Pelodiscus sinensis: one gene and its partners. The protein of the gene in region 4 interacts with the protein of the main gene of each other region in a pairwise test. Links are inferred from orthologs where the notes say so. Each region holds a gene or a part of one and is shown on either strand. Other genes may lie near its edges.

Evidence for each region.
Region 1: the proteins of CCNH (region 4) and SSX2IP interact in binary tests that used the Homo sapiens proteins (3 or more experiments, as listed by UniProt). The link is inferred for Pelodiscus sinensis from reciprocal best matches to the Homo sapiens genes CCNH and SSX2IP.
Region 2: the proteins of CCNH (region 4) and ZNRD2 interact in binary tests that used the Homo sapiens proteins (3 or more experiments, as listed by UniProt). The two-hybrid records come from large-scale screens. The link is inferred for Pelodiscus sinensis from reciprocal best matches to the Homo sapiens genes CCNH and ZNRD2.
Region 3: the proteins of CCNH (region 4) and KLC3 interact in binary tests that used the Homo sapiens proteins (3 or more experiments, as listed by UniProt). The two-hybrid records come from large-scale screens. The link is inferred for Pelodiscus sinensis from reciprocal best matches to the Homo sapiens genes CCNH and KLC3.

The regions. Positions count from the first base shown.
Region 1 is NC_134719.1:29,851,192-29,858,415, forward strand, and holds the start of SSX2IP (afadin- and alpha-actinin-binding protein), read right to left. Parts: upstream 3,023-7,224; 5' UTR 2,865-3,022; intron 1-2,864. UniProt on the Homo sapiens protein: Belongs to an adhesion system, which plays a role in the organization of homotypic, interneuronal and heterotypic cell-cell adherens junctions (AJs).
Region 2 is NC_134721.1:36,059,238-36,066,970, reverse strand, and holds the start of ZNRD2 (protein ZNRD2), read left to right. Parts: upstream 1-4,663; 5' UTR 4,664-5,009; coding exon 5,010-5,028; intron 5,029-5,394; coding exon 5,395-5,546; intron 5,547-6,303; coding exon 6,304-6,388; intron 6,389-7,450; coding exon 7,451-7,733. Other genes in the region: coiled-coil domain-containing protein 87-like, read left to right, coding at 1-755. UniProt on the Homo sapiens protein: Might play a role in mitosis. Antigenic molecule. Could be a centromere-associated protein. May induce anti-centromere antibodies.
Region 3 is NW_027465849.1:7,073,686-7,081,579, forward strand, and holds the start of KLC3 (kinesin light chain 3), read left to right. Parts: upstream 1-4,779; 5' UTR 4,780-4,888; intron 4,889-5,646; 5' UTR 5,647-5,659; coding exon 5,660-5,917; intron 5,918-6,949; coding exon 6,950-7,177; intron 7,178-7,388; coding exon 7,389-7,464; intron 7,465-7,894. UniProt on the Homo sapiens protein: Kinesin is a microtubule-associated force-producing protein that may play a role in organelle transport. Plays a role during spermiogenesis in the development of the sperm tail midpiece and in the normal function of spermatozoa.
Region 4 is NC_134716.1:76,318,303-76,325,848, reverse strand, and holds the start of CCNH (cyclin-H), read right to left. Parts: upstream 3,014-7,546; 5' UTR 2,890-3,013; coding exon 2,773-2,889; intron 2,477-2,772; coding exon 2,354-2,476; intron 1-2,353. UniProt on the Homo sapiens protein: Regulates CDK7, the catalytic subunit of the CDK-activating kinase (CAK) enzymatic complex. CAK activates the cyclin-associated kinases CDK1, CDK2, CDK4 and CDK6 by threonine phosphorylation.

The DNA of each region.
Region 1 (7,224 bases), on a different chromosome or scaffold from region 4:
GCGGCTAAGAGTGAAGGGAGTATATTTTTTCCTGCTTCCCAGATGGGCCAGGTCAATGAGGGTTGCCGGGTTTTTTTTGCTTTGTTTTGGTTTTTTTTTGGGGGGGGGGAGGGGGATTGCTTTTCTTTTTTTCTTGCTTCTCACTTGCGTGGATCAGTTCTCATGTCCCACCACCCTGTGTTAGCAGATTCTCATGAACACTTGTCCCAGAAAAACTTGTGTCTTTCAGGGCAAAGAGGGGGTGAGGTTAACGCCTCAATTTTTTTCAAGTGTAGACACAGCTTAATTCCCAAAGTAATTAAAATACTGCGTTTGAACACAGTTTACAAGGACCCTCCCCCTACACAGACTATGAACCCCCAAATGCCTGCAAACTCTCTCCATGTGTCCTCACTCCACATGCATCCCCACTGCCCCAGCAGGAGTAGGCATATTCCTCCTGCCTGCAAATTCCCCTCCCCCATGCACACATTTCTCCCAAGTTGTCATCACATATGAACTCCCTCTAACCACCTGCAAATTCCCCAAGAGCACAAGCGCAACTGCACCAATTGCAAACATCTCGCTGTTTGCATGCATGTCCCCATCACCATCTATAATTTTTCCATATATGTACCCACTTTCCCCTGCTTCCACCACCTGCCCCCAAATGTACACGGGCACATATCTCTAACCCTCACTACCTACAATCTCTCCTATATGTATGCAATTCCATCAGCACCTACCTTCTGCAAACTCCCTCAGTATGTATACGTGAACATCATCCCAATCACAATCATCTGCAATTTCCCCCAAATGTATGCAGGCTCATCCCTCCCAAGCCTCCACAACCTGCAATCTCCCCATAATCACACCTGCCGCAAATTCCTCCTCCCCATGTGCACATGCATGTTCCTCCCACTCTCCTACTGTCTACAAACTGCACCCATAGCATGGACATGTGCACCTCCCCCAACCTTCAAACTCCCTTGCTCCACCTAGGGCATGCATGGGTGCCTCCTACCACCCACAAACTCCTCAGCACCTCCCCTTACTGCCTGCCAATTTGCTCCCTTTAGTGTGTATCACCCCAAATGTCTGTCAACTCCCCCCTGTGAATGTGCAAGCATCCCCTGCCATCTACTAACCCGATCACCGGTGGGTACACGACTGTGTCCCCTTGCTATATACCACCCTCCCCCCATACAGAAGCATCCCCATGAGCTTCTTCCAACTCCCGCTCGCGCTCTCTCTCTCTCTCTCTGTGTCCTCCTAACCCCTGCCATCTGATATTCCTCCCCCTCCCCCAGTATATGCACAAGCATTCCCTCAGCCATTTGTGTATGATGTGCAGAGTGTTCCCCAAAAGGCCACCCAATAAAGATTCAGAGCCACCCAACTGATTAGTAGAGTGTCCACATCCAGCAGCATGTGTAGCTAATGGTGGTGCACATCTATAGAGCAACATTAATTCCACACACGAATGGGGAAAAAAACACTGGGAATACTGGATGTGCTCCTCCAAGAGCGTTCTGGAATCTCCAGGAATTAAATCTTTAATGAAACATTGTCATGTGATGAAATCTCCAGGAATACATCCAACCAAAACTGGCAAGCAGCAGGTGCATGTAAGAGCACCACCCCAACTGCATGTTCCTCCAGTATGCACAAGTGCTGGAACTAGGCAAGCTTTTACACCCCTTGGCTTGAAATGCTTTCCAATGTATATGTTTACAGTTTGGTTACTGGCTTTCAGCACACCCAATATATACATTGTTCCAGCACCCGTGCCCATGTCTGTGCAAATGGACCCTCTACCAACTGCCCCCTCAGGTATGCACAAGTGTCCCCCCCCCATGCCCATTTCCCCCATCTCACGTGCACAAACATTCCTCCACCCCTCTGACTGCTCCCAGGTATGTGCTAGGGTCTCCCCTTTCCGTCCCTCCCCAACTCCACCCTGTGTGCGTTAGAGTCTCTCCCCCCCCCACCATCACCTCATCCCCTGGGTGTGTGTCAGTGTAACACACCCATGGCAGTTACATAAACATTCCTCCATCCTACTCCCCACCAGTTCCCCCTCCCGTGTGTGCGCGAGTCCCCCCCCCGCCAGCTCCCCCTCCCGTGTGTGTGCGCGAGTCCCCCCCGCGCCAGCTCCCCCTCCCGTGTGTGTGCGAGTCCCCCCCCGCCAGCTCCCCCTCCCGTGTGTGCGCGAGTCCCCCCCGCCAGCTCCCCCTCCCGTGTGTGTGCGAGTCCCCCCCGCCAGCTCCCCCTCCCGTGTGTGCGCGAGTCCCCCCGCCAGCTCCCCCTCCCGTGTGTGCGCGAGTCCCCCCCGCCAGCTCCCCCTCCCGTGTGTGCGCGAGTCCCCCCCCCGCCAGCTCCCCCTCCCGTGTGTGCGCGAGTCCCCCCCCGCCAGCTCCCCCTCCCGTGTGTGCGCGAGTCCCCCCCCGCCAGCTCCCCCTCCCGTGTGTGCGCGAGTCCCCCCCCGCCAGCTCCCCCTCCCGTGTGTGTGCGAGTCCCCCCCCGCCAGCTCCCCCTCCCGTGTGTGCGAGTCCCCCCCGCCAACTCCCCCTCCGAGTGTGCCCGACCCCCGTCCTCCCGTGTATGCTCAAGTTCCCCCCCAATTCTCTCGCCCACCTGTGCGCAAGTCCCCCCCCCCCCCGGCCAAACGTCTCCTCCCGTGTGTATCGAAGTCACCCCCGCGAGTCCCCCCGCCCGTGTGTGCCGGGTCCCCCCTCCCTCTGCGTGCGCCCGCCAGCGCCGTTCTCCGCTCGCAGCCCCGCGGCTCCTAGCGCGGCGGGCGGCTCAGCGAGGCGAACGGCGCCAGGCAGAGGCCCCAACGCCTCAACTCGAGCAGCCCAGGGCCGGGCGCGGACTCAACTCACCCGCATGGCACCACCTGCTGCTGCTGCCGCCGTGGAGGGGGCGGGGGAGGCAGTCGACTCCCGAGCGAGCCCAGCAGCCCCGCCGCACTCAGTCCAGCCCTGCTCGGGCCCCGCAGGGTTAATCGCCCCGCCCCCTCACGGCACGGCGCTGCTCCCATTGGCCGGGCTGTTGCTAGGACACCTTCAACAAGCGCCTGTGCCCAGGGGCCAGAGAGCCGCAGCACCCACCTCCTCTTCCTCCGCCGCCTGGGGGCCCTTCGCGGCGCTCGGGCCGGGGCCGCTCGGGAACTTGCGCCGGGACACGCCTGCGAAGGGGGCTGGGCTGCGCGAGTGGCTCGTGGGCTTCTGCGCGCGGCCCGGCTGTCCCTGCAGCGGCTCGTCAGCAACCGGGAACCGCTGCTGCCTTGCGCCGCGTAGCCAAACGGGCGGATGCGGGAGGCAACGGCCGCTTCGCCAGGCTGGGGGAAGCGGGGGGGCTCAATGGGACTGGAGGGGGAGGTGCGGGTCTCCCTCCTCGGGCGGAAAGAAACGTTGCTTCGCCAGCCAGGGAGGGGGCGCTGTACCCCGCCTTTCGAACCCGGGTCTGCTCCCCCTAGTCCCTCCCCCCCACCCCCCAGAGAGACCTTAACTGCAACACTTACGGGTGCCAGGTAGAGTCAGAAATACCGGACACACTTGACATTACGGCACAATCTACCTTACATCTTATTTAGAAACTACCGGACATGGATATTTTCTCAATGGCTGTGTCTACACTGGCATGAATTTCCGGAACTGCTTAAAACAGAATAGTTTTCGTTATAAGTATTTCCGGAAAAGGAGCGTCTACATTGGCAGGCTGCTTTTCTGGAAAAGCCCTTTTTCCGGAAAAGCATCCGTGGCCAATGTAGACGCGCTTTTCCGGAAAAGAGCCCCGAGCGTCATTTTCGCGATCGGGGCTTTTTTCCAGAAAAGACTACTGGGCTGTCTACACTGGCCCTTTTCCGGAACAGTGTTCTGGAATAAGGACTTATGCCCGAGCGGGAGCAGAATAGTTTTTCCGGAATAGCGGCTGATTTTGTACAGTAGAGCATCGTTGCTTTTCCGGAAATTCAAGGGCCAGTGTAGACAGCTCGCAGCTTATTCTGGAAAAGCGGCTGATTTTCCAGAATAAGTGGCCCAGTGTAGACACAGCCAATTTGTTTCCTGAACAGAAAGCTCAAATACTGGATTGTCCAGTTAAAAATCAGACACCTGGCAACCCTGAGTGTGACTTCTAAAAGGCAGGTGAGAGCAGCCACAGCCTTTGCTGCAGGGAGTTTGTTTATAAAGAGGCAAAGGTGATTAAGATAACAAAAGGCTCATGAGATCTCAAAAGCACTGCCTGATACTCTAATCAAAAGAGAGCCCGCCCTTTGTTTCCTAAGGGGTAGTAGAGGCAGAGTTTGATAAGGGCTAGATCTACTTAATACTTAAGCTTTTTAGAAATAAAATAAAAACCCTTATTTTAAAAAATCAAGGCATAAAAAGAGTTGAGTGCTAATCAGTTTATTACACCCAATGTATGATTGATTACCAGCCTGCAGGTGGTGTATGCGTGATACCGTGCAAGGAACACCTAGCCCTAAATGATGGTGTACTAACTTTGCTAGTTTCCCAGGCTGATCAAAGGCACTGGCCCCTTGCCCCTACTGTCCAGGATATTTTGAGGGTCACATATCCTCTTATCCCCCTTCACACATCATCCCTGCTCATCAGTGCCAAATACAGTGGAACACTTATGTTCCATATCTTACATACTAGAAGATTTACCCAGCATTGTTTGGGTCCTTAAGTGAGTTTTGCTCTTCATTTAAATTGCTATTGGGAGTGGGCTGGGGGATGAAGGGTTCAGTATGCTGGCTGCCCTGGGGAGAGAGGACGATCCCAGCCCTCCGTCACCACAGCAACTTGCAGCCAAGTGAGAAGCATTTGTCCGTGGCCCCTGCAGCTGCAGCAGACAAAGTTGGAGGATGGATCCATGTCCACTGGCTGGGGGACAGACAAATAGAAACACAGACAAGCTCTATGAGATAGATAGATTAGATAGATATAGTACAGGGGTCGGCAACCTACAGCACGTGTGCCATTTATGGCTTGCAAGCCAATTTTCAGCAGCAGCACAGAGGAGGAAGCTCAGCCTCCCCCAGCCCAGCACAGCCACTGGCGAACACTCCCTTCTGCCTGCAGCAGGTTATGCTGCAGTGGGAGGAAGCAGGGCTGAGGCTCCTCAGTGGCCCCTCAGCCAGAACCAGAGGTGCTTCTGTTGTGGCCATGCGGTCCAGGGTCAATCCAGAATTGTATGGAAGCAGCGCCTCCGGCCTCTGGGGCCGGCCCCAAACCATGTGGCCACAGCAGCAGGGTCTCTGGAGCCAGCCCCAGACCATGTGGCCACAACAATAGGGCCTCTGGGGTTGGCCCTGCACCACATGGGCCCTGGCAGTGACAGCCGGGCCTTCCTTCGGAGTGGCCTGGGATAGTATGGCCACAGCCATTGCTGCACGGAGGTGCAAAGCCGGGTAAGGGGTCCCCTCATGCCCAGACCCCACCCACACTCACTCCCCTCAAAACGCTGTACCCCTGAGTTGTTCCGACTCCCTCCCTTGTTCCTGCACCCTCCCTCCTGGGCAGGCACTCCCACCCTGTTGCTGCTGCACCCACCGTTGCTGCTGCACCCTCCCTTGTTCCTGCTCCCTCCACCTGGCCAGACACCCTACTCCCAGCCTGCTTCTGTACCCTACCTCCCACTCAGACCTTGCAACCTCTCCACCTTCTGTACCCTACCTCCCAGATCCTGCACCCATCCCTATCCTACTTGCTGGTAGCCCTGTCTCATACACTGTACCTCTCATTTTTGTCTTTACCCCAGAGTCTAAGGGGGTCCCTAAAATCCACTAACTCCAGAACCACCGAAAAGTAAATCTGGTCTATGGGAAGCCCTGAATCTCAGTCCCCCTATCCCTTCCCTTCCCCTCGCCCCGTGAGGCTGGGGCACTAGCCAGTGAGGTGTCTCAGTTGGGGGCCACATCAGTGAGGGTTGGGGGGTTTTGAAGGAGGTTTTTTTTTGCTTCTCATTTGTGTGGTCCCCAACTGATTTTTCTGTGGGTCAGTAACCCCTGACCCAAAAATGGTTCCCCACTCCCGCCATAAATAAAGAAAACATAGAAACCTTTTGTGTTGGACATAATATTTTACTTTATTTAAAATGAAGTTTGATAAGCTTAATATGAGAAAGTTAAAATGCTTAATTGTTTCATAATTTCATTCTCCCTAGCTGCAACTGGTTCAGAAAATATAGTCACTGTACCCAGCCTCCCCCCCTCCCGGGCACACAGATCTGTGAATAAGCTAAATTTTGATACACCGCTTCTGAAAGGTTGCCAATCCCAGCACTAAAAGGTAAGATCTGTATCTTTCTTTATTAATGAAACTGCTACAAGTAGCACTATCAATGACTTAAAAAAGTATCACCAGCACTCGGACCGTACATAGAGGTGAATAAGTCAAATCTCAGCACTTCACCTCTGAAAGGTTGCTGACCCCTGATATAGTAGCTAGCTGTCCCTTTCGCCACCTTCCACCCTGCTGGCTCAATGGGGTTATAGCTGTCCCGGTCCCCATCTCTGGCCCCTTGTTGCCCCTGTCCGTGGTATAGCTCCCTCCTACTAGACACCTCTTGTTCCATTTTATGAGAAACAATCAAATTCCAGGCTCTTCCCATTGTTTTTTCACAAACGAATCCTTACCTTTTTCTTTAAGTTATGATAAGAGGAAGCTGCACACCAAAATTGGTGGTCCTAGCTCTTACCGTTTAGAAGGAGTTCTTGAACTAACAGCTTTTCTAAAATATATAGTAAAAAGAAGACACTGTTGTTAATACTATAGAAGAATATTAGACTTTTTCTCACCTGCAACATGTTATTGACTCATATGCAGGTTGTGATCCTGTCAATAACCTACCAATTCATTTCAGCAGTATTACCACCAACACAGTTATTCCTCATTCCTGCATTTAATTTTTCCTAAGTATTTTGCACTTGTCTTATTGAATTTCATCATGTGATTTCAGGCCAATTCTTCTAATCCTGTCTTCAAAAATCCTAGCACCTCCTCTCACTCTGAGGCTATGTCTACACTGTGCATTTTTTGCGGAACAGAGAATGCAAATTGAGTGCTCATTTGCATATCTTGTGCTCATTTGCATATCCTCTTCTGATCCTTTTTGCGGAAGAGGTTTTTGCAATAAAAAGCCCTGTGTAGACGGGGCCATTTGTCGGGGGGGAAAAAACCCTTTTGTGCACAAGCCCTTATTCCTCAAAAAATGAGGTATACAGGCTCTTGT
Region 2 (7,733 bases), on a different chromosome or scaffold from region 4:
ACAAGTGCCCAGCCTGTGGCAAGGCCTTCTCCCGCAGCTCCCACCTGGCGCGGCACCAGCGCACCCATACTGGCGAGCGCCCCTACCCCTGCACCGACTGTGGAAAGCGCTTTGGGCTCAGCTCCGACCTGGCCACACATCGCCGCACCCACACAGGTGAAAAGCCGTTCCGCTGCACCGACTGTGGCAAGGCCTTCTCACGCAGCTCCCACCTAGTACAGCACCAGCGCACCCACACTGGGGAGCGTCCCTACCACTGCGCCCAGTGCGGCAAGAGTTTCTGCCACGGCTCCAACCTGCTGCAACACCAGCGGACGCACCGCGGTGAGCGCCCCTACCGGTGCCAGCAGTGTGGCAAGGCCTTCAGCCTCAGCTCCAATCTGATCCGCCACCAGCGCATCCACACTGGTGAGCGCCCCTATCGTTGCACCGACTGTGGACGCAGCTTTGTACTGAGTTCTGACCTCCTGCAGCACCACCGCGTGCACACAGGCGAGCGTCCCTATCAGTGTCCTGACTGCGGCAAGGCCTTCTCACGCGCCGCCCACCTGGCCCAGCACCGCCGCACCCACACAGGCGAGCGCCCCTACCACTGCCAGTACTGCGGCAAGAGCTTCAGCCACGGCTCCAACTTCATCAAGCACCAGAGCACCCACTTGCATGGCTGGCAGCCTTGCTGGCCTCTCACAGAAGGTGGGGAAGGCCCCCAAGATGGCGGGGCCAGCAAGGAGGTGGAGAGGCAGGCACAGCCTTAGCGCACAGCAGTGCTTGGAGCATGGGACCTACTACACACAAGAATCCATTATTGCCATCCTCCTAGCCAGATCACTTGGATGAAGTGAGAACCTATTAAACACCATGGAACCCTGCTCCGGATGCTGCCGGGAACCTATTAAATGTTGCGGACCCTACTGCTGCTTTAAGAGCCACATCACAACCCACAATGTATTGTACATCAGACTATGCTGCAATAGGGTTCATAACCACCCAGCCTATCAAGCATCCAGCAACTCAACCCTGGCTCCAGCACAGTCCTTTGGGCTTGTTTAAGTTGGCCTGGTTTAGAAGCAAGTTTTTTGGGCCTGGTGCAAACATGATCTCAGCGACCTGCAGGTGAGAGCAGCCAAGCCATAGTTTGATCCTTGCTGTCAGATGAATGCAGCTCCCATCTATGCCAAAGTGCTTAGTACTTAGAGTGGAGGGCTCAGATCTCTCAAAGGCTGAGCGATTCAGCAGGCAGAAGCCAACCTGAGCCAAGTCAAACTAGCAATGAAGGGCAAATGTGTGCCAGGAGGGGGGATTCCAAAGCAGGGCAGCTCCTTCGGGGCTGGGGGGAGGAATGCTCAATCTCTGGGGGGGCACAACATCCAGGCCATGTGTCTCTGAAAGCTGTGTTCTAGCTCCAGGGTGAGCTCATGTGATACAGGGAGGCAGGTTGGGAGATGAATACTGTTCCTTCTCTCCTGTTAGCTGTAGTGGCATTCCCACATGTGCCCAGCTGTAGAGGGAGGCTCTTGTGAGCAAAGGCCTTAGAAGCTGGATCTGGGCCCTTCTTTTTGCAGTAACCCACCTCTACCCAGCAGTCTCATTTCCTCCCCTTCTGCCAGAGTTCAGCATGGCTCACACTCAAATGAGAAGCTGACCAGCAAACCCAAAGGATGTGCACGGGTGGGGGACGTGCTCCCAGAAAATCCAGCCAGCCAGGTGCCTCCAGATGAGATGCTACTAACCTCTCCTCCACCTGGCAGCATGCCCAGCCTGTGGCAGCTCTATAGAAGGCTGCCAGTTTGGAAGTACACTGATAGCTGGGCTGGAAAGAGGCATCTTGGATGAGGTTCTGTGGTCTGTGCTATGTGCAGGATAGACAGGTGAGTGCTGTACTCCACTGGTTCTCAGATGTCTGTGTTTGTGACCCCTTTCACCCAGCAAGCCTCTGTGTGAGACCTCCCCTTATACATTCAAAATACTTTATAAAAACACCATTATAAATGCTGGAGGCAAAGTGGGGTTTGAGGTGGAGATTAGCAGCTCTACCCCCATGTAGTAACCTCATGATTCCTGAGGGGTCTCAACCCACCCCCCATTTGAGATCCATAATCTCTTCTGGTCTTGGACTGTACACTCTTGTCCTAGTCCGTCCTTTACCCAGTCTGTGCTGCTTCCAGCCTTCCTGGTTACTATCACTTGCCCAGGTCTCTCTCTTGCCAGTACTCTAGCTTCTTTGGGTGATAAAGAAACCCCCCATTTCTGCTTTATAGCACTTTTAGGGAGTGATCCGTAGTTTGTCATGGGCTACGTTCTCGCTGAGTGATTTCTCTGAGAGCCACTGCCCTTGTCAGTCTAGTCTTCAAGACACACAGTGCAAAGAGACAGGTGACACTCATAGGCTGTGTTCTTCCAGTCTGATCTGGGAGGCGATTGAATCTGCCCCCCTTTGGAGGTGCTCTCCTCAGAGGCTGTTGCTGTTTCCTAAAGGCATTCTGCAGGGTGGGCTTGGGGCTGGACTTGACCAGAATGAGCAGGTTCTGGGCTGTCCCTCAGTGAGAACGTGGGAAAGCATAGCAGCCAGCTAGCTCAAAACCTCATGTTTAAGTCAGCAATGGCAAGGCAAAGAGGTGACTTGGTACCCGTCTGTTAGTCCCGGCCTACAGGGAGAAGTTTCTGACAGGCAGTGACATGGGCCCAGCAAGGCTGGGAACTGTTGCCACACAAATTAACACTGGCACTAAGGGGCAAGAATTTCCCAGGGGAGGGATTCCCCCAGTGGAAGAAGTGACCTGCAGAGTGGGAGGGAAGATTCTCCATTGGTTGGAGTCCTTCGGTCCAAAATGAGCTGTCTGCAGAAGCTACTAGGTGAGTGCTATGCAGGAGGTGGAATTAGACTATCCTAAAATAGTCTTAGAATGGAAATGTGCCTCACTGCCTGTAGTGCAGTGGTGGGCAACTTGTGGCCTATCAGGGTTCTATGTATGGCCTGCAAGACATTTTGTTTACTGTTGCCTGTGTGCAGGGTTGCCAGATTCTGCTGGTTTCCATCCACATTATTTTTTCCTACCAGTATTACTAAAGTGAAACACACACAAAGCAAAGGCACGTGAAGCAATGTGCATGCTGATTGCTCATACTATTGACTGCAAGAGCCATGCACGCCCTCTGCATCCAATCAAAGTGCTGCTATAGTTCATTTGGCAAACTCTGCAAATTCTAGGTATGCAAGTGCAGTTAGCAAAACAATTCTATCCCAGGAGACTGTCTTGGTTACAACAATCTTGCAGACCACTGAGATGGAGGGCAACTCATGCAGCCCATGCACTTGCCTAGTTTGCCCACCACTGCTATAGTGGCTTTGAAAACCTCAAGGCCAGTTCAGGCAAGCAAGCAGTGTGGAAGAGCTGTCCAGTACTGCTGCAGTGGGCTAATATGCTGCCAACCATACTGGCTTCATTATGCTTTTGTTACCAAGATGCATTGTGAAGACATGACAGTCCAAAACAGTGTGGCAATTCCCTCTAGGAACCAGCTAAACTGGTCAGTCATTCAAGGAGGATAAGGACACTGCTGAGATATACATGATCTTGTGGGATGATAAAGTCAGTAAGGCATCCAAGAGTTCATAAGAAAGAAGCTGCTGAGATTTTTGGGAGCACCTACTTATAAGCAACAAATGATGTGCCTCCTTAGAAAATCCTGGAAGTTTTATTTCATTCCTTGCTAAACTGTTTGGAAGAAACACAGTACTGGAAGCCATCAACAATGGGGGTAGGAAGAGCTCTGACTGATGAGGGAAAGTCAGGCTGTGCTGGTGCATTAGACTTTGTGGAAAACAGCTCCAAACTAAATGTCAGCGAAAGAGAATCCAGTCCTATCATTCATCTGAATTCACAAAAGTCTGTGGCAGAGTCTCTCCCGAGAGCAAGGAAACTAGAAAGGAGGCGAGAGAGATAAAGGCTTGACATCTACCAGAAATGTCCTAAGAGACAGGAACTAATGGGTAGCCTTAAATAAATGGTCTCCTTTCATTAACATTCCAGTCATGCAAATCATCCCAGCTGATTTCAGTAATACCTACTAGGGCACATTATTACTCATCAATGAGCAACTGCACTTCATTTTGTTTATTATGCAGGCTCATAGCATCAGTGTAGAGGCAATTAAATAATTGCTTTTCTTTGGGTCCCTTGTCTTGCTTCAGTTCCTTCTCACTAAATGATCACCACTCTCTCGCTCCTTGTCATACAACTGATTACAAACAAGCTGATACAAACACTGAGGGGGAGTACAACTCTGTATAGCCAACTCTGACTGAAGCTATTCCAGAAGATTATTTTCCCCTGACATGGCATCATCTCAGTTTCTTGCAATATTCTATTAAAAGCTCCTGGATTGCTGTCAGTAGTCACCTTGAAATTGAGGCCAATTCACGAAGGCTCCAGGCTAATTCTGGAGAGTTGGCAACTAAAACGGGGAGCCAGCCTAGCTCCTGCAGGGTTGAGTGCTCCCTGCAGTGTGGTGTCCTGTGGGGGTGCCCTCTGGCTGTGGAGATAGAGCTGTTGGAGGGCAGTGACCGAGCCCAGCTGTAGGTGGTGGGACTGGAGGGCGGGGGGGGGTCCCAGCAGGCTGGATGCTGCAGGTGGAACCTAGGCGTCCTGGCTCCCGTTGGTCTTGGGCTGGGGGCTGGAACTGGCCTTTCCCCGGCCTGCAGGCCGGCGGTGGGAAGGGAGGACCGCGGTCGCTTCAGGCCGGGACCAGTCTCCCGCCGCGGAGGTGGGAGCGGAGCAGGGCTCCCTCCGGTTGGAACGCGCGGTCTCCAGGCCGGGAGGGTGGGAACAGGAAGTGCGCGGAACGCTAGAGCTGCTCCTTGCTCGGGGTTGGCACTTCCTGTCCAGTTTTCGTGAAACGTCACTTCCGTCACTACATTGAGTCTGGGTACCCTGCGTGAAGGTACTTCCGGCCAAAGCAGGAAGGGGCTGGGACTGAAGCGGCGCAGCAGCGAGGGAGTCCCAAGCGGCATGGCCCTGAACGCGACAGGTACCGCCTGGGGGCGGGGCAGGGGTAGGAGCTGCCTGGGGCAGCCGGAGGGGCGGGTGTGGCTGGGGGCGTAGGGCTGAGGGAGGGGAGCTGGGTCCGTGGGACTCCCCCAGCAGAGCCAGGGCTGGGGGCATCTGGCAGTAGAGGGGGGCAGCCCCATGTTACGGCTTCAGCCCAGCTCAGCCTCTCCTGGGCACAGCGGCACCGCTCTAGGCAGGCATAGCGCTGCGCGAGCGATTCAATAGAAACCCCCTGCACCCGTCGCTGAAGTGGCTCCCTCTCGGGGCCGGGCGCAGGGTCACTACACTGACAGCTTGCAAGGACTGCTGTGCGATGGCTCTGCCAACTTCCTGTATCCTCCCTCAGGCAACGATGATGGGAACTGGGAGCCACCTTCAGAGGCAGAGCTGAAGGTGATCCAGGCACGGAGAGAGCGACAGGATAAGATCAGCAGGGTGATGGGCGACTACCTGCTCAAGGGATACCGCATGCTGGGGGAGTGCTGCGAAGAGTGTGGGGTATGACCTGGGGCCCGTGCGGGGAGCCCAATAGAGGGCACTGTGCTCCATGCAGGAGCAGAGGGCGGTGGGGGTCCCCCAGCTATCCATCATTAGTTGTGCAGGTAGTGTTCATGGCCAGCTGCATCTCTTCTAACCTGGACTGATGCCTGAGTGTACTGGGACCTTATAGGGAGCAGGCTGGGCCAGACCTGTCATGTGCATGGGCCTGTGGGTCTGATCCAGGGGGGATACTGGTTTGGATGGGCCCATTGGTCTGCTCTAGCAGCCAGGGGGGCTGGATACTAATCTAAGTGGGCCTGTGCATCTGACTGGGAGAAAGGGAGGCATAGTGAGCTGAATGGATCTCAATGCCCTGCTCAGTGGTTCTGGAATGGGAGCTTCCATCACCCAGGAAGAGTTCCCTCCACTCCCAGTATGAGATCCTCCCCTTCCCATGTTACCTATTCCACCCATCCATATACATTGTGTTCCCCTGTAGAGCAGCATAGGCTGCTGGGAAAGCTGCTCCACTTCAGGGTCATGAATTCTAGTCCCTTCCATGCAACAGGGCTCCCAGCCTTCTGAGAGAGAATTATTGGATTCACCTCCTCCCTTTGCTCCCTCTCCCTCATTAGAAGCCTAGGGGTAATTCTAGTCTGCCTCTGCATTAGAGATAGAGAGCAGCTTTGGTGTCACTGCTTCCCCCAAGTTGGGCCAATCCTCTCTCTTATTGTTATGCCCTGAAGTCCCACACTAGTCTGTCTCCCCTTTGCAGACCATCTTGCTCCAAGACAAGCAGAGGAAACTTTACTGTGTGGCCTGCCAGGAGCTCAACTCTGACATCGATAAGGACAACCCAGGTATGGCCCTTCCCAGCATCATGCTGTCTGCCAGGGAGGGGTTGGAGTGACTTGGGAATTATGGGGGAACTAGCTGATTCAGAAGCCAGGGAATGAGACATTGGTAAAACGGAAAGCATGTCACAGAAGTCTGTGACTTCAGCAACTTCTGCAGCTGGCACGTGCTATTGACCTGAGAGCCACCCCAGAAGCTCAGGCAGCACAAGGGCCATCTGTACTTCTCCCCCCCCCCCCCCACCCGATCCCGCTGCAACAGTAGCAGTCCCAGGACACCCTCCCCCGGTAGCTGTGGCAGTGCTAGGCCATCCCCTGCCTGCACCAGTGGGTGCACCAGAAGCCACCTTTAGATCTCCCACTACAAGCACCAGCAGGTGTCCTTGAGCCATCCTAGCATCAGTGGGCACCTCGAGCTCCCATCCAGAACATACAAGATAAGTCATGGACAGGTCACAGGGCCATGAATCTTTGTTTATTGCCCATGATATATCCATGGTTTTTTTATTAAAAATACTTATAACCAGGGCTCGACAAATTATACAATCTACTCGCCTATGGCGAGTAGATTGTAACCCGTAAGAGCCGGGTTTGGGCGATCTGCGCATGCACAGAACGATCTGCACACACACAGATCACTGGACAGCGCGGCTGGTGAGCGGGGCTCGCCACAGTTCGGCGAGCCCTGCCTATAACTAAATCTTAGCTTTAGACATAAGGCATTCCCTTCTCATCCACTCTTATCTAATTCTGGGCACTGCATAGAACCCACCTGGTATCTGGGCTCTGTAAAGCCAGGCACTGCACAGAGCCATAGAAAGAAAGACCCTGCCTGGAAAAGCTCATAGACTGAGCAGATCCAGGATGGAGAAGGAACAGGCACTGAGAGGGGAAGGGACTTGCTCAAGTTTAGTGGCAGCACTGGGAACAGATCCCAGGTGTTGTGGCTTGCCTGCCCTCCCTCACTTCAGCTGTGGACTGTGACTGCACCCCATTCTGCATCCTGCTGGCGCTGGAGGCAGCTCTGGTACTGGCAGATCTGATCTCATCTGTCCTCTCTCTTTCCAGCACTGAATGCCCAGGCTGCACTATCCCAGGTCCGTGAGCACCAGCTGGCCTCCACTGCAGAGGAGGCCACGCCCCTTGGGTACCTCCCAGCCACTCACCAGCAGCTCCATGTGCCACGACCAGAACATTGTGAGGGGGCAGCTTCAGGACTCCGAACTGCCGCCACTGCAGCTGCCATACCACAGGCCCAGCCTGCCCCAAAGCCTGCCCTGCCTGCCAGCCCCCTGGCTGCAGCGGAGGATGCCATCCTCCGGAAGCTCGTCTGGGCCACCCAGGAGCTCCA
Region 3 (7,894 bases), on a different chromosome or scaffold from region 4:
GCCAAACACGATGCCAGCTCTGCCTACATATCTAGACTAGCGAATTCATCACTGGAGCCAACAACATCAGCTACCGAATCGAAAGGTCATTTGACTGCACAGCCAGAAATTTGATCTGTGCCATCAAATGCCAGCAGTGCCCCACTGCTATAGATATCGGACAAACTGGGCGGTCTCTGTGGGAACGAATCAATGGGCACCAAGCAGAAATATGTAAAGGAAATATACAGAAACCTATTGGGGAACACTTCAGTCTTCAACATCACGCTTTAAAACATGGGTTCCCAAACTGGGAGTGGTGCCCCCCAGGAGGGTATAAAGAAATTCCAGGGGGGGACACAAGGCAGCCCAGGTCCCCCCTCATCAATCACCCCCCCCCCAAGTTTTGCTGCTATTTTTGTTTTTCAGCTTCCCATTAGTTTCTTTTCTTTTCTTTCTTTTTTGTTTTTGCTCAACAAGTTTTGTTGCTATGGGGGGGGGGGGGGAGTTTCTCAACAATCAGAAAGGGGGCGTGATGCCAAAAGTTTTGGGAACCGCTGCTTTAAAAGAGCCCCAAGTAGCTGTCTTGTCACAAACCAGGTCTACAAGCCAGATCCACAGGGCAGCATTAGAATTAGAGTTCATCCGCAAAGTCAGTTCACATGCTAAGGGACTGGATGGTGATGAAAGTTGGTTAGGACACGACCAATTTAGCAGCTCTCGGTGTAGCATCCTTCCTGACATGGGAGTCTATCTATTGACTTTGATTCTTAGCTGCTTCAGTTTAACTAGCTAATCTTCTGATACTTATTCTGACGATTCCCTCTGCTTGCTGTCTCCTACCCCTCCCTTTTTCTTCCCGCCCCTCTCCCCTTCCCCTCTCCTATTTATTTTGGGTGTACACATCCTAAACTCATAACTCCGGTCATCTGAAGAAGTGGATTGTGCCCACGAAAGCTCATGATCCCATCTACATGTTTTGTTAGTCTATAAAGTGCTACCAGACCATTTGTTGTTGGTGGGTTTTTTTGGTTTATACCTGTCGCGCATCATTCCAGGAGGCCTTGAGCTTTTCATTTAAAAAAAAAAGAGACTTGATTTTTCAAATCTGGGTGCATAAGGCAACTAAATCCATATCTGAGTCACTGTACGATTTGCAGGGGTGCTGAGTACCTGTGAGTCATAGCGCCGTTACTGAAATCCCTTTTGGTGCGGGGCAGGGATGTGAACGACTCGCCGCCTAATTGCTCCCTGTCACAGTGGTGCCTAAACTTCTCAGCATCACATCCCCTTTTTGATTTTTGAGAAACCCTCACGGCCCCCCCAAAAAATAGCAGCAAAACTTGTTGAGCAAAAAAAAAAAAAAGTTGCCCTTTTAAGAGCAGAGCAGGCTTTGCCCTTTTAAGGTGACCATTTTGAAGTCTACCTGGGACATTCCATCCTCCCCTGATTTTTTTTACGGGAGGGATCGGGCTCTTTCTTGGGGGGAAATTGATGGGGGAGGGTTCGGTCGCCTTGCACCCCCACCCCTGGAATGTTTTCATGCCCCCCCAGGGGGTGCACCCCCCAGTTTGGGAACCTATGCTCTATCAGAAAGAGGCAGCCAGTGGGGGGAAGAGGTAGGGGTGTGACGTAGTGGGGGTACCTGGCTGGTTTCTATGCTGCTGGCTCTGGGGTAACCCCCACTGGCTGCCGTGGGTACCACGACCCAGCAAAACAGGATGAGTCACTATGCAAACCAGTGGCCAGACACCCCCCATGGAGAGGAACAAAGGAAGGGGGAATGCTGCCCTGGCTGGGGGGCAGGGCTGGAAGTTGGTTAGTGAGTTGGTGGCTGTCTGGGAGCATGGAGGAGACAGCCTAGGGAGAGGAGCTGGAGTTTAGGGGCCCAGTCTCCCCCCAACTCAAGGGAGCCTGAGGCATCCTAGCCCAGCTCTGTGACCAGACTACATCTGTGCTGTGCTGTATCCTGGAGAGGCAATAAACTTCCTCTATTCCACCGGCTGGTGCAGTCTGTTTGTGCCATTTCGGGGTGCAGGAGACGGGGGACCCCAACGCACCGTCACAAGGGGTGCTTCAAAGTGGCAGTGCCGCGTGGAGCCAGGGTCAGCTGGGGTCTCCCCTGCTGACCCTGGGCTCCATGTGGTGCTGCGGCTTTGAAGTGTAGCAACAGCCCTGGGATGTAAATTGCATCGACTATTCGATTAGCCAATTAATCAAAATGTTACATCCCTAGCGCGAGGCTTATTGGCAGAGCAGGAACGCGTTAACCCTTTCAATGCTGCCCTCTCGCACGCGTGCAGCGAAGCCAAATGACACATTGATTCTATATTGATGGCTGTGGGTTTGTGCAAAATAAAGTCCTACTTCCTGATTGGCCCCAGACTCCCCATTTCGCACTAACAATCCGGCCACTGAAATGAGCGGAATGCGCCTCTTTTGACACCGGCATACGCTGGGCGAAAGGTTTAAATCGTGAGCTTTGTGTTTCACCGGGAAAAAAAGTCCCGACAACGCCGATGAGAGTTTGCGAAAAAGATTTGCTCGCAACATGAACATGGCTTCCCCCCTTCAGCTGCCATTGCCATGCAAGGAACATGTGTACAGTTATGAATCCCCAAATCATTCGGTTACGGAACGGAACGGCAGCTTTCCGTCTTTCGGATTCAGCTGTACCACGTCTGGGTCATTAGTCCCCAAAACGAATGATGTTTGAAGGCAAAATCCTACAAGTTGGAAGCGGTTCTTTTACTCCCCTTTGGCGAGCACGTGAATAAAAAATTCTAGGGCGTCTATTTCACTGCTTGAACTTACCTGTCAGCGTAATTGACGCAGAACGGCTTTGCCCGGTCAGGCACGCGCCTCCGTGGCTAGTTTCAAGATTTATCTGGACAACCGTTTCGCTTCTGATCATTGTAGCGGAAACACCCAGTTTAGGAAAGGCATCCAAAAAGGGCACCCCAGCTCCCTCCTGACCTTCTGGCAGGGTTCACTCCCTTCGCCCCCAATGAACAGACACCTGTCGGTCAGGTAGTCGTAGAATCATAGAATAATAGGACTGGAAGGGACCTCGAGAGGTCATCGAGTCCAGCCCCCCGCCCTCAAGGCAGGACCAAGCTCCGTCTACACCATCCCTGACAGATGTCTATCTAACCTGTTCTTAAATATCTCCAGAGAGGGAGATTCCACCACCTCCCTTGGCAATTTATTCCAACATTTGACCACCCTGACAGTTAGGAATTTTTACCCAATGTCCAATCTAAACCTCCCCTGCTGCACTTTAAGCCCATTACTCCTTGTCCTGTCCTCAGAAACCAAGAGGAACAAATTTTCTCCTTCCTCCTTGTGACACCCTTTTAGATATTTGAAAACCGCTATCATGTCCCCCCTTAATCTTCATTTTTCCAAACTAAACAAGCCCAGTTCATGAAGCCTGGCTTCACAGGTCATGTTCTCTAAACCTTTAATCATTCTTGTCGCTCTTCTCTGTACCCTTTCCAATTTCTCCACATCTTTCTTGAAATGTGGCGCCCAGAACTGGACACAGTACTCCAGCTGAGGCCTAACTAGTGCAGAGTGACAGACACATGACAGACACATGACATTTACCAGTGCTACCCTATGGCAATCCAGGAGCCTGCCAGCTCTTTCCCCTGCTTGCTTTCACCTTGGTGTGGGTGGCAAAGGGTTGGCCAGCAGCCGGCAGGGCCTGGGCGTCTGCAGGGAATACAAGAGGCCTGGTACCCACAGAAGGGCTCCAGCCCCCTCATTCCCGTCGGGGAAGCAGAGAAACAGCCCGAGCTCTGCTTTTGGGGTAGTCACAAAGACAATTGCCTTGCAAACCAAAAAGCAGGCCACAGGCCCTGGTGTGCCAGCACCGCCGAGATACCCCTGTAGGTACCCACAGTGCTGCAGTTTGCAGGTGAGATGCCCTACACAGCCCCACACCGGCCCTCGCCACGGCACACGGGAGGCTGAAGCTGTGGGGGAAAGGGGCTGCCGACTCTCCTGCATCGGTCGGACGGAGGTTGGGAATGGCCGGCACGGGACTGGCACTGAGCTGGGGGCTGGTGGTAGCCGGACGGATGCTCCCTTCCCCCATCATCCCCATCCCCTCTCCCCCAATTTCTCCCTCCCACTCCTCCACTTCTCATCTCCAGCAGCAGCCTCTGCCTTTCAGGGGAGTCCCGGAGAAGCCGTCCCATGGCCAGAGGCCCCGGTGAAGGGCATGGTCTGGCCGTGCAAAGGAAGCAGCCCCCCCAGAAGGGGCTTGGCCAGAGAGCTGGAGGAGCATGGGGTGGGGGAGGGTGTCACCGGATTGGGGCTGAGCTAGATGCAGGTGGCCGGGGGCTGGCACCCAGGCGGGCCCAGGCCTGTTCCGTTTGGGCCCCTCTAGGCCTCTCTGCAGTCTGGCAGGACGGAGCTGGCACAAGAACCCGGCTCCCAGCCCCCCCCCCACCATGGGCAGAGGGCACAGCCCTGGGGCTAGTCCCTGCCCCACCCCCGACCCATAGGGCCCTGGCCAGCCTCTGCGCTGTGGCCCCCAGGAGAGGGGGGGCTAGATCGCACGATGGCAGGATGTGGCCGGCCCCAGGGCCATGCCGGGGCCCCACGAGCTCACAGCAGCTCCTCGTGGGCCCCCGACCACCGCAGGGAGAGCAAAGGCTGCTCCGGGGGAAGGGGGGCCTAGTGGTTACGGCCCCGGGCTAACGCTCGGGGGCGGAGGAGGCCGGGCGCTCTGCAGGGGGGGCCGCCACGGTGAGCAGCACAGGCGACCCCACCCCAGCTGGCCCCGCCCGGGGGGGGGCGGAGCCCGGTGCATTGTGGGTGCCGCCCATGGCAGCGGCAGGTGAGCGCGGAGCCAGGGGCGGGCGGGCGCGGCGCAGACGTCGGAGGTTCCGGCCGGCAGGTGGGTCCCGGCGGGGTTGGGGGCTCCCCGGGGCGGGCAGCCCCACGCGCGTCCGTGCGCCCTGCCGGGGCTGGTGCGCGTTTGCGCGCGGGAACCCCGTGTGCGCACCCTGCGTGTGCACGGTTCGTGTGTGCGCACGGGCCGCGCGCGTGCCCTGCTGGTGGGCCATAGGCTGCGTGTTGCACTTTTGTACGTGCGTGTGCACACCTGGGAAGGGGGGTGCCGGGCCTGTCCCGCTGGCGCTCCCCTGCCCGTGCGCACCAGGCTGTGGGTGCCCTGTTTGGGTACGTGCGGGCTGGGAGTGCCCGGTGCCTTGTGCATTTGGGCTTGTGCACGGGTGGGGCGTGTTGCTCCCGCGTGTGCCCCGCCTGGGCAAATTTGGTTCTGTGCCACACCAGGTGCCCTTGCTCCGTGCGAGGCTGGTGTGACTGGTTCTCCGGGAAGGGAGGGAACGCAGCATCCAGCTGGCACCCAGACTGGGGCCCTTCCTCCCCTGTGTGGACTCTGCCTTGGGGCGCCCCGTCCCGCCCGTCTGCGCTACACGTTCCCTGCCAGCCCCACTCAGCCCCGCATCCCACCCTTGGAAGGATCAAAGCTCACGTCCTGTCCCACCCTGAGCGCCCCCTTTCGGGCAGGGCCCCTGCCCACTCCAGGGGCAGAAGGGCGCCGGGCCTGGCTCCAGGGAGCTGGGAGGGAGAGGGGCGCAGGGACCGCCCTGGCGGGGGAACGGCCGTGCTCAGGGTGCCCGCTCCCCGCAGGCTCGGCCGTGCCATGTCCGTGGTGGCGGAGGCCGGCGAGAGCCAGCCGGCGAGGATGACGGCCGATGACATCGTCGCTGGCACGCGCCAGGTGCTGAAGGGGCTGGAGGCGCTGCGGAGCGAGAACCGGGGCATCGCGCGGCGGCTGGAGGCGGCCCTGCTTCAGGGCCCCGGGCCGGAGGGGCCCCAGGTGCTGGAGCTCCTGGAGGAGAAGTACGACCTGGTCCGCAAGTCGCTGGAGGGGATCGAGCTGGGGCTGGGCGAGGCAAAGGTACCGGCGGGGCTGGGCCAGCACCCCAGGGCAGTAGAAAGGCGGCTGGCTCCAGGAGCCGGGGCGGGGAGCCCCTGGTTGTTGCAGCCCCACCTTTCCCAGTAGGGGGCGCTGTGGGGAGCAGGGCAGGGGCACTGGCTGGGGGGAGCTCCTGCAGCCCCAGCCTGTCCCAGTAGGGGGTGCTGGGGGGAGTCCCAGCTGCTTTAGCCCCACTTCCCAGCAGGGGGCGCTGGCTGGGGGAGGGGGAAGAGCTTCTGGCTGCTGCAGCCCCAGCCTCTCCCAGCAGAGGGCACTGTGGGGAGCAGGGCAGGGGCACTGGCTGGGGGGGAGCTCCTGGCTCTCCCAGCAGGGGGCGCTGTGGGGAGCAGGGCAGGGGCACTGGCTTGGGGGGGAGCTCCTGGCTCTCCCAGCAGGGGGCGCTGTGGGGAGCAGGGCAGGGGCACTGGCTGGGGGGGGAGCTCCTGGCTCTCCCAGCAGGGGGCGCTGTGGGGAGCAGGGCAGGGGCACTGGCTGGGGGGGAGCTCCTGGCTCTCCCAGCAGGGGCCGCTGTGGGGAGCAGGGCAGGGGCACTGGCTGGGGGGGAGCTCCTGGCTCTCCCAGCAGGAGGCGCTGTGGGGAGCAGGGCAGGGGCACTGGCTGGGGGGGAGCTCCTGGCTCTCCCAGCAGGGGGCGCTGTGGGGAGCAGGGCAGGGGCACTGGCTGGGGGGGAGCTCCTGGCTCTCCCAGCAGAGGCCGCTGTGGGGAGCAGGGCAGGGGCACTGGCTGGGGGGGAGCTCCTGGCTCTCCCAGCAGGGGGCGCTGTGGGGAGCAGGGCAGGGGCACTGGCTGGGGGGGAGCTCCTGGCTCTCCCAGCAGGGGGCGCTGTGGGGAGCAGGGCAGGGGCACTGGCTGGGGGGAGCTCCTGGCTCTCCCAGCAGGAGGCGCTGTGGGGGCAGCGACTGGGGGTGGGGAGCACCTGGCTACAGCAGCTTCAGGGGGCCGGCCTGGCAGGGGAGGAGGTTTCCCTGCTGAGCCCGGCCCTGCCCTGGCCAGATGCTGGTGGCGCTGGCGTCCCACCTCGGGGCGCTGGAGGCCGAGAAGCAGAAGCTGCGGGCGCAGGCCAAGCAGCTCTGCCAGGAGAACCTGTGGCTGCGGGAGGAGCTGGCGGGGACCCAGCGGCGGCTGCAGCAGAGCGAGGAGATGGTGGCGCAGCTGGAGGAAGAGAAGAAACATCTGGAGTTCATGAACCAGCTGAAGCAGTACGACCCCAAGGAGGAGCAGGTGAGGCCCGGAGTCCCTTAGGCTGGGGGGCAGGAGAGGTGGGGCTGCTCCCCCGCTGGAATGGGGGGAGGACCCTAGGGGGCACTGTGGCCAGGTCCCCCCTTGGCTGACCAAAGCTCTGGGCAGGGAGGGGCCGGGCCTGGGTTTAGGGCTGTGGTGGGGGAGCCCAGCCACGCCCCTGCTTGCCCCAGCCGCTCCCCTGTCCCCGTAGCCGGAGGAGGTGGCCCCGCGGCGGAAGGACAGCCTGGCCTCCCTGTTCGCCAGTGACGAGGAAGAGCAGCGGCAGGGTACGTGCCGGGGGGGCTGGCAAAGGGGCTGTGGGGCTGCCGTGGGGCCGGCTCACTGCCCTCGGCTCTCTGAGCGCCCCCCCCCCCCCCCCAGCCCCTCGGTTCCGCCCTCAGGCGCCCGGCCCTATTGGCGGGATTGTTACCAGCGCCAACCAATTAGCTAGAGCTTTGAACCAGGCTGTGCACCCAGCTCACTTGGCCCGGAGTACCCCCTGCCTGCCCCCCTCCCCACGGCATCTGGCCCGCAGTACCCCCTGCCTGCCCCCCTCCCAGGCATCTGGCCCGCAGTACCCCCTGCTGTCCCCCTCCCTGGCATCTGGCCCGTAGTACCCCCTGCCTGCCCCCCTCCCAGGCATCTGGCCCGCAGTACCCCCTGCCGTCCCCCTCCCTGGCATCTGGCCCGCAGTACCCCCTGCCGTCCCCTCCCAGA
Region 4 (7,546 bases):
CAGTAAGTTCCAATTGGGCATGATAGCACAAACAGCAAATAGATAATGTTCAATGCAGAGAATATACACTTTTTAATCCACTAGTCAGATTTCAACCTTCTCTAAGAACCTTCTCTAAGGTATTTATTGGCTCCCACCATAAAATCAGCACCTAGCCACCTTCAGCATATTTTATCCTCAATAACCCTGCAAGATAATTAAGTATTGTTATACCTTGCACTCTGCCCACACAAAAATAAGTAGGGTGTATAAGTACACACAGGGAAGTGAGGTGCAGAGAAACGGAGGGCTAGATCCTGAGGTTACTGCAATATTTAACTCTTAAGTTATCTGCTGGACAGTAGACCCCTCAGCCCTGAATAAGGCGCTTTAGCTTCCCATAGAATGCAAAAGAGTTAAGCACTTAAAGGGATCCTTGTAAGTCAAGCTGAGTAGTGAGCCACTTAAGCTACTCAGCAGAAATACTGACACAAAGGGCAGGAGCTAAACCCAAACTCAAAGAAGCATACACACCCAACTCTAGACTGAAGGGGGCCTTAACCATTGTGCCATCATTCCCCTCTATCCATTACACATCAGCATCTTGAAAAGACACACTGACATGCAGTCCAGTAACCACCCCCAGTTACTCTGTCATGTTTCTATTTCTATTGAGTTTTTTGTTGGATGTTTAGCTAAAATGTTAATTTGTAAGAAATTCAGATTTCTCCAAGTTTGACTGTTGTCCACCCACCTATTCTAGAAAACAGGTCACTAATTCTAAATGAAAAAGTACCTTTTGTACCACTGAATCCATTTTAAACCTAAAATTTTTTCCATGAGCTCTTTTTCCTTAACACCTCAAATCCCCTCTCCATTGGTTAGATTTGTAGATGAAATATTTTGAAACATGAAAAACTTCAGACTATAGTTTGAGAAGTAACGCCTTGGATTAAGGATGTTAAATATCAGTTAATTGAACAGTCGAGTAACCTCATGACATTTTATCGGTTAGTCGACTAGTCTATAGTCCCGGGGGGGGGGGGCAGGGCCAGCAGCCACTGTATTAGAGGCAGCAGCACGGGGTGAGAGGTGTAAGCTGGTCTGCAAGGGGAGCTAGTTTAAAAACCAGCTGCCCTTGCTACCTGGCTTGCCTGTCACCTTGCGCTGCTGCTTTTAAGGAAGAAGCAGCACTACAGGGTGGCAGCAGTCCCTGTCTCGGGGAGGGGAAGCAGGGGGGAAAAGTGTCTGAGCTCCTTGACCCGGTGTGAGACAGGACTGAGCTGGGCTGCCTGACCATCCAGCTCCTAATACATTTTAAATGCAGAGCTGCAGTAGGGGTAGGTCTTGGACCTATCACAAGCCAGGACTGTGAGACAGGCTGCTAGCCAACCTGCTAAAAAATTTACTGGCAGGGAGAGGGAAATGCATGTAGTCTATAACGTTAACCTATAAGCTTTTGCTTATCGGTTAATCAGCTATACTATTACATCCCTATCTTGGAGAGAAGTTTGTTTGTTTTTTTGTTTTTGTTTTAAAAACACAACATATGTAAGTTTCTAGAACAAAACCAACAGGGTTAACCTTCGTCACACGTAGCACAGAATGCAATATAATAAAGTCTGTCAAGCACAGAATCCAAAAGAAAAAAAACTTAAATCTGAATTTCTTTCATCAATTTACTTTGTCAATTTTACATGCAATAATCTGGCACATAAGAGCAAGGATCCCTCTAATCTTTTCCATCCATGTGTTGAATAAATCTTTCTACTGCATGTGAAAATGTACACCACCAATATAAACAAAAACCTAGCTGTGGGCACTCTGATGAACAGCCAGACAGCATCTGAATCTATCTTGAGCAGCCATGCAAATGCACAGACTACAGGAACACACAGCACAAGAGCAAGAGTCACTAAAACTGATTCAGTCAGTTGTAAATTTTCCTCCTCTACACTTTTGCTCTGGAAGGGAGTCAGCCTGAGCAAGAGTATTTGAAAGACTTGCCACAAACTCTACTGGCCTGATCCAACTCCCATTAATCAGAAAACACACACACTTGCATTGATTCTGGACTAGCGTTTCTGGTAGCAGTACCCAATAATCTCAACAAGAAACCACCCACAGTTAAAACAAAGGCACAAACCTAAAAAAAGCCAATGATGGAAATATCAAGCCCCTCTCCCCCGAGCTCTTTTGGTGACAGCAAGGCTCAAGTCCTTTCATTCCCCACAAACCCAATGCTCAGAAGATGCGACGAGTGCCCCCAGAGTCATGGCTTGCGAGAAGCTACTGAGGGTGCTGGACGTCTGGGTGTCTCAGGCCAGGGGCAGTCTGCAAAGGAAAGGCCGCGTCCTTTCGGTACCCAACTCACCACCACGGATCTGGGCATGGCAGGTTTGAACACGGAGCAGAAATCCAGCAGTTTCTTCTCATAGTATTTGCAGATTGTCAGCTCCTCCCGGGTCTCCAGCAGCAGCGAGTCGTTCTGCCGAACCTGAGGACACGGGCAACGTCACCCGGGCGGGCTCGGCAGCTGCTTCGGGCCCCGCCGAAACGCCGGGGCTCGCCCCTACCCGCTGCCCGGCGCAGCTCTGCTGCCGCTGCCCCTCCCTTCGCAGCCAGCGGCAGCCGCGCCGAGTACTCGTGACACGCTGACAGCTGCCGCCGCGGGGATCCCCCGCGCCCGGCTCCAGCTAGGAGGTCCCCGGGACTGACCCTTCCTCCACACGCCGCCGCCGCCGCCGCCCCAGTCCCGAGCCTGGGCTCTGTCCGAGCGGGGCCGATCGGTACCTTTCCGTTGGCCACCGCTTTGCAGCGGAACTTGCGGTTGGCGTCGGCCCGGCAGCGGACCAGCTCCTCCTCGCTGCGGAAGGTCCAGTGCCGCCTCTGCGTGCTGCTGTGGTACATCCCGGCCAACCGACCGCTCCTCAACGGGCACCTGGATCGCGCGAGCGCACACAGCCCCGCGAGCGCACGCCACCAACGCACTAGAGCGCTTTCAAGCCCAGCCTCACACCCCACTGCGTAAACTAGCTCCGACATATCCCAGCATGCCTCGGGGCCCCATGTGTACTACGGATCCCAGCGTGCAGCGCGCCTCGGCTTCTCCCAACCAAGCTCCGTAGTGCAGCCCCGAGTAAACTACAATTCCCAGGATGGGCAGCGACAGACTTAACCGGCGTTCCGCGCTCTACCCAGAGGCAAGTGGCGTCTGCAAGCGGGTAGTAAGCGAGCAGTGCATGCTGGGAGTTATAGTCTCTAGCGCTGCAGGCTGGGTAAAGGTCGAGCACGTTAAAACTCCGGACTTGCGCTCAGAGCTGGAGACAAAGCAATGGTCAATACTGACTCTGGCCACAAGTTAGCACCTCAGTCCTTGGCGTTTCTTGTTGCAGTCCTGGTACCACCGTGCGGTCTTTAAAAAGGAGCAGATTTGGGGTATTTTTCAGCAATTTCTTTGAAACAAAGGCCCACTCCACTGTAACTGGCTAACCTGTAAGCAAGGCAAAGGTCATTCTGCAAAAGCAGCGCAGAGTCCTGTGGCACCTTATAGACTAACCGAAGTGTAGGAGCATAAGCTTTCGTGGGCAAAGACCCACTTAGTCAGATGCATGTTGTGGAAATTTCCAGAGGCAGGTATAAATATGCAGGCCAGAATCAGGCTGGAGATGAGGAGGTGGATCCAATCAAGGAGGATGAGGCCCACTTCTAGTGAATTCCAAGAATTCACACCTCCAGATCAGCTACTAGAAGTGGGCCTCATCCTCCTTGATTGGATCCACCTCCTCATCTCCAGCCTGATTCTGGCCTGCATATTTATACCTGCCTCTGGAAATTTCCACGACATGCATCTGACTAAGTGGGTCTTTGCCCACGAAAGCTTATGCTCCTACACTTCGGTTAGTCTATAAGGTGCCACAGGACTCCTCGCCGCTTTTGCAGATTCAGAATAACATGGCTACCCCTCTGATAAAGGTCATTCTGTGCATCTTTGGCATCCCGGGTAAGAAAGTAGGTCAGTGACTTTGGCCTCCTAGATGAATTTGAAGGCTCGGCCCATTTGCACATAGACTATAGTAGTACATGTAAGATGTACATAGATAAACCATGTACTTTTTTCAACAGAGCTTGGAATATGAATTTTTATGAAAAATTACCACAGACTTAATTTCAATCCCTAATATTTGTGTATGGACTCATTGCTGACCCATGCTCCTATGTATTCCTATGGATTCCCCACTCCATTACATAACCTAGCTATAGCCACCATTATTGTATTTTCTAATTTAAGCTATTCTCCATTTGTATTTAATTAAAGATTTATTCCTAAAACTGATTACTGTCCTAAGTATTCCAAAGGGTCATGTTATTATCACCACTCATGTTCAATTAAGCCAATAATAATTCTGGTGAATTTCAACTCTTTGTGAGGTTGTTCCTGCAGATTTCTATTTAAAGTGTTGTAAGACATTCTGGGCAATTGAGCCAAAATCTCTCATCACAAGCTGAACTATAGGGGGAAGAGGGAAGAGAAACAGGAACTGGGTTGTCATAGGGGTTTCTTTAACTATCTACTGTAGAAGCAAAAACACGCTCCTCTGTGTTTAGACAGCTAACAAACAGCTTTATTAATTAATAAAGCACAGCATGAGCCAAACGTGGTCACAGCAGAGCCAGACCCAGTAAGGCTGCTAATACAATCAATTCTAATATCTTTATACCCTTAGCCAAACAGTCTGACGTCAGGGCATCCAATTACAGAAATCCTCAATTAAATTTGGAAAAACCAAACCTTATCAACAAGATGGCGGACAGGTGCGAGGGAGTACATCTCCTGTCCCAACCAGCCTAATTAACACATACCAATAGCCCATCCTGTAGGCCTCTTCTCACGGGGTGACAGAAAGTTCACTCTGGTCTACGTGCTTGAGAGAAAAGCTGAAATGGTTTCTGATATACAAGATGGCTTCTAGCTAAACATGAAAATGGTTTCTACAGCTTCTACACTACTCTTAAGGGAGTTTGTATGTGTATATCTGTATAGTTATTGCAGGGTGGGCAAATTCCAGCCTGTGGTTCGGATCCAGTCTTTAGGGGTAGTTTCTGGCGTTTAATCCCTCACCTCCATGTTTACCTGTGCCACTGCCGGTATCGTAGGATCACATTGGCTGCAAACAGCGATTCACAGCCAACCAGCGCTATGATCCTCTGATACCTGCGGAAGCATAGGTAAACATGGAGGCGGTGACCCGGTAGGGACTAACCCCGCGGCCTGCTGTTTTTTTATTGTCCACCCCCGTTTTATAGACATACTTGCTGACAGGTATTTTGAAATAAGTTACCAAAATATATGAAACTGGCATGATTATTGTTGGTTCTTGGTTCGATAAAATGGCAGGAGTCCCAGAGGCTTAAGGCCAAATACCCAGTGAAAATACAGAATGATGGCAAAACAACAAGTTTTACTAAAGAAGGAGTGATTTATTAAGCTGAACAACTTCCTAATATTTACTTAACATTTACCTAATATAATGAACAACTACCTAATATTTACCATACAACAACTTTTAAGCCCTACCTAAGTTACAGCTAAGTCAAATATATACACACTTAAAAAAACTGTTTCTTTAACACTGACAATAGCAAGGGTTTCTTTAACACTGACAATAGCAAGGGTAAAAGTTACCACAGAGCAATATTTTTTCTAACCTGGCTCTTTTAAACAACTTAACAACAGTGGGGGTAAATTAAATACTTACAAACTCAGCAACAACAACACAAAGACACACAAGGAAACGGAGCATGCTCGAGATTGTACACCCCTTTTTAGACTTTTTAGATCGGTGGGTGGGAGGCGGCCTTTGGGTGATCAGTCCTAAGCCAGACTCAGATTCTGTCTTCCAATATCCCGGAGTCCTCCCAGAGCTAAGGGCAGAGAGGTTTTTATGTTCTTGCCTATTACCATATTTGGTGGTGTTTGTGCTCAGGGAGTGGCATGGGAGCAGTTTGGGTGTGGTGTGAGGCCCATATATGGTGTTGAGTGCTGGACTCTGACAAGCTCCATTTTATTGGTAGATAAGCCTTGTTGCTATCCATGTGAGGTGGTGAGGTTGCTGAGGTAGATCTGGCTATAGCTGAGGCCTGGCCAAGAGAACCCATACTTGACAATTATATAGTGATAAGTTGACAAATACCTTTTGGAGAATTTTGTAAAATATCGTGCACAGAATTTTTAATTTTTTGGTGCAGAATCCCCCAGGAGTAATGTAGGTACCAGTTGTCACCTAAAGAGAAAAAGATGACAGAACTCATATGGGAAACTGACACAAATCTAGTCTATTTAAAATATTAACTTTTGAAAGAGAGTTAAAGAAAATAAGAGATGTGAGAAAGAGAATAGACTAAAAAAAGAAAATGCTGTAAACCAGAAGAGCCAGATTCTAATATCCTTACTCATATTGGATAGCAACTGTACTCCATGAGTAGTTCAAAGGCACTTCTCATAGAGTGAAGTTCTATTCTGTGTAAGTAAAGAAATAGAATCTGGACAAGAGAAAGCAAATGGAAGAAGAGCAGGAAAAAAAAAAACAGGAGAGAAAGGCAAAATAGACTTTTTAATAAGCAAATTGTGTTTTAATATTTACTTGTTACTGATGGAACATTAATGTTTTCTTTTTGGCAGATGACACATTATCAGAGCATGATTTTTGAAAAATAGTTTGTGAAGTGATTTGTTTTTTTTTTTTTTAATTTCATGGAATAAAGTTATAGAAATCCTCTATAAATCTGAGTCACAGGGTAAACTGAGTCTTTTAAGGATATATCTACACACTACAGTAAAACTCCGATGGTCTGGCATCTGATGGTCCGGCACTCCTGATGGTCCGGCACCATCAGGAACCCAGAAGTGCTCCGGGCAGCTGGACCATTGGAGCTGCTCTGCCCCCAGCTTCCCCGATTCAGCCGCTGCTAAAACTGACCAGTGGATGAATCGGGGAAGCCGGGGCAGAGCAGCTGGGGCACTGCCGGGTTGGTCCCATAGCACTGCCCCCAGCTGTCCCCGATTCAGCCGCTGCTGAAACTGATCAGCGGCTGACTCCAGGAAGCCCGAGGCAAAGCTGCTCTGTCCCGGGCTTCCTGGAATCAGCCCCTGATCAGTTTCAGCAGCAGCTGACTTGGGGACACCTGGGACAGAGCAGCTGGGGTGCTGCCGGGTTGGTCCCACAGCACCAAGGGTTGGCGCTAGCAGACCAACCCGGCAGTGCCCCAGCTGCTCTGTCCCAGGCATCTGGATTCAGCCGCTGTTGAAACTGACCAGCGGCAGACTCCAGGAAGCCGGAGGCATCCCCCCCTCCCACCCCAGACCCCTCATAGCCCCCCCTTCCGATAGTCCAGCAAATCTGATAATCCGGCACCCCCTGGATCCTAAAGGTGCCGGGTTATCGGAAGTTTACTGTATTTTGGAGCCTGCAAAAATGAGCATCCCAATCCAGGTTAACACACTGAGGTTAGAGAGGTTCATGGTAGTGCCCTAAAAATAGTTGTGTATCAGCATTTTAAAGTTGCA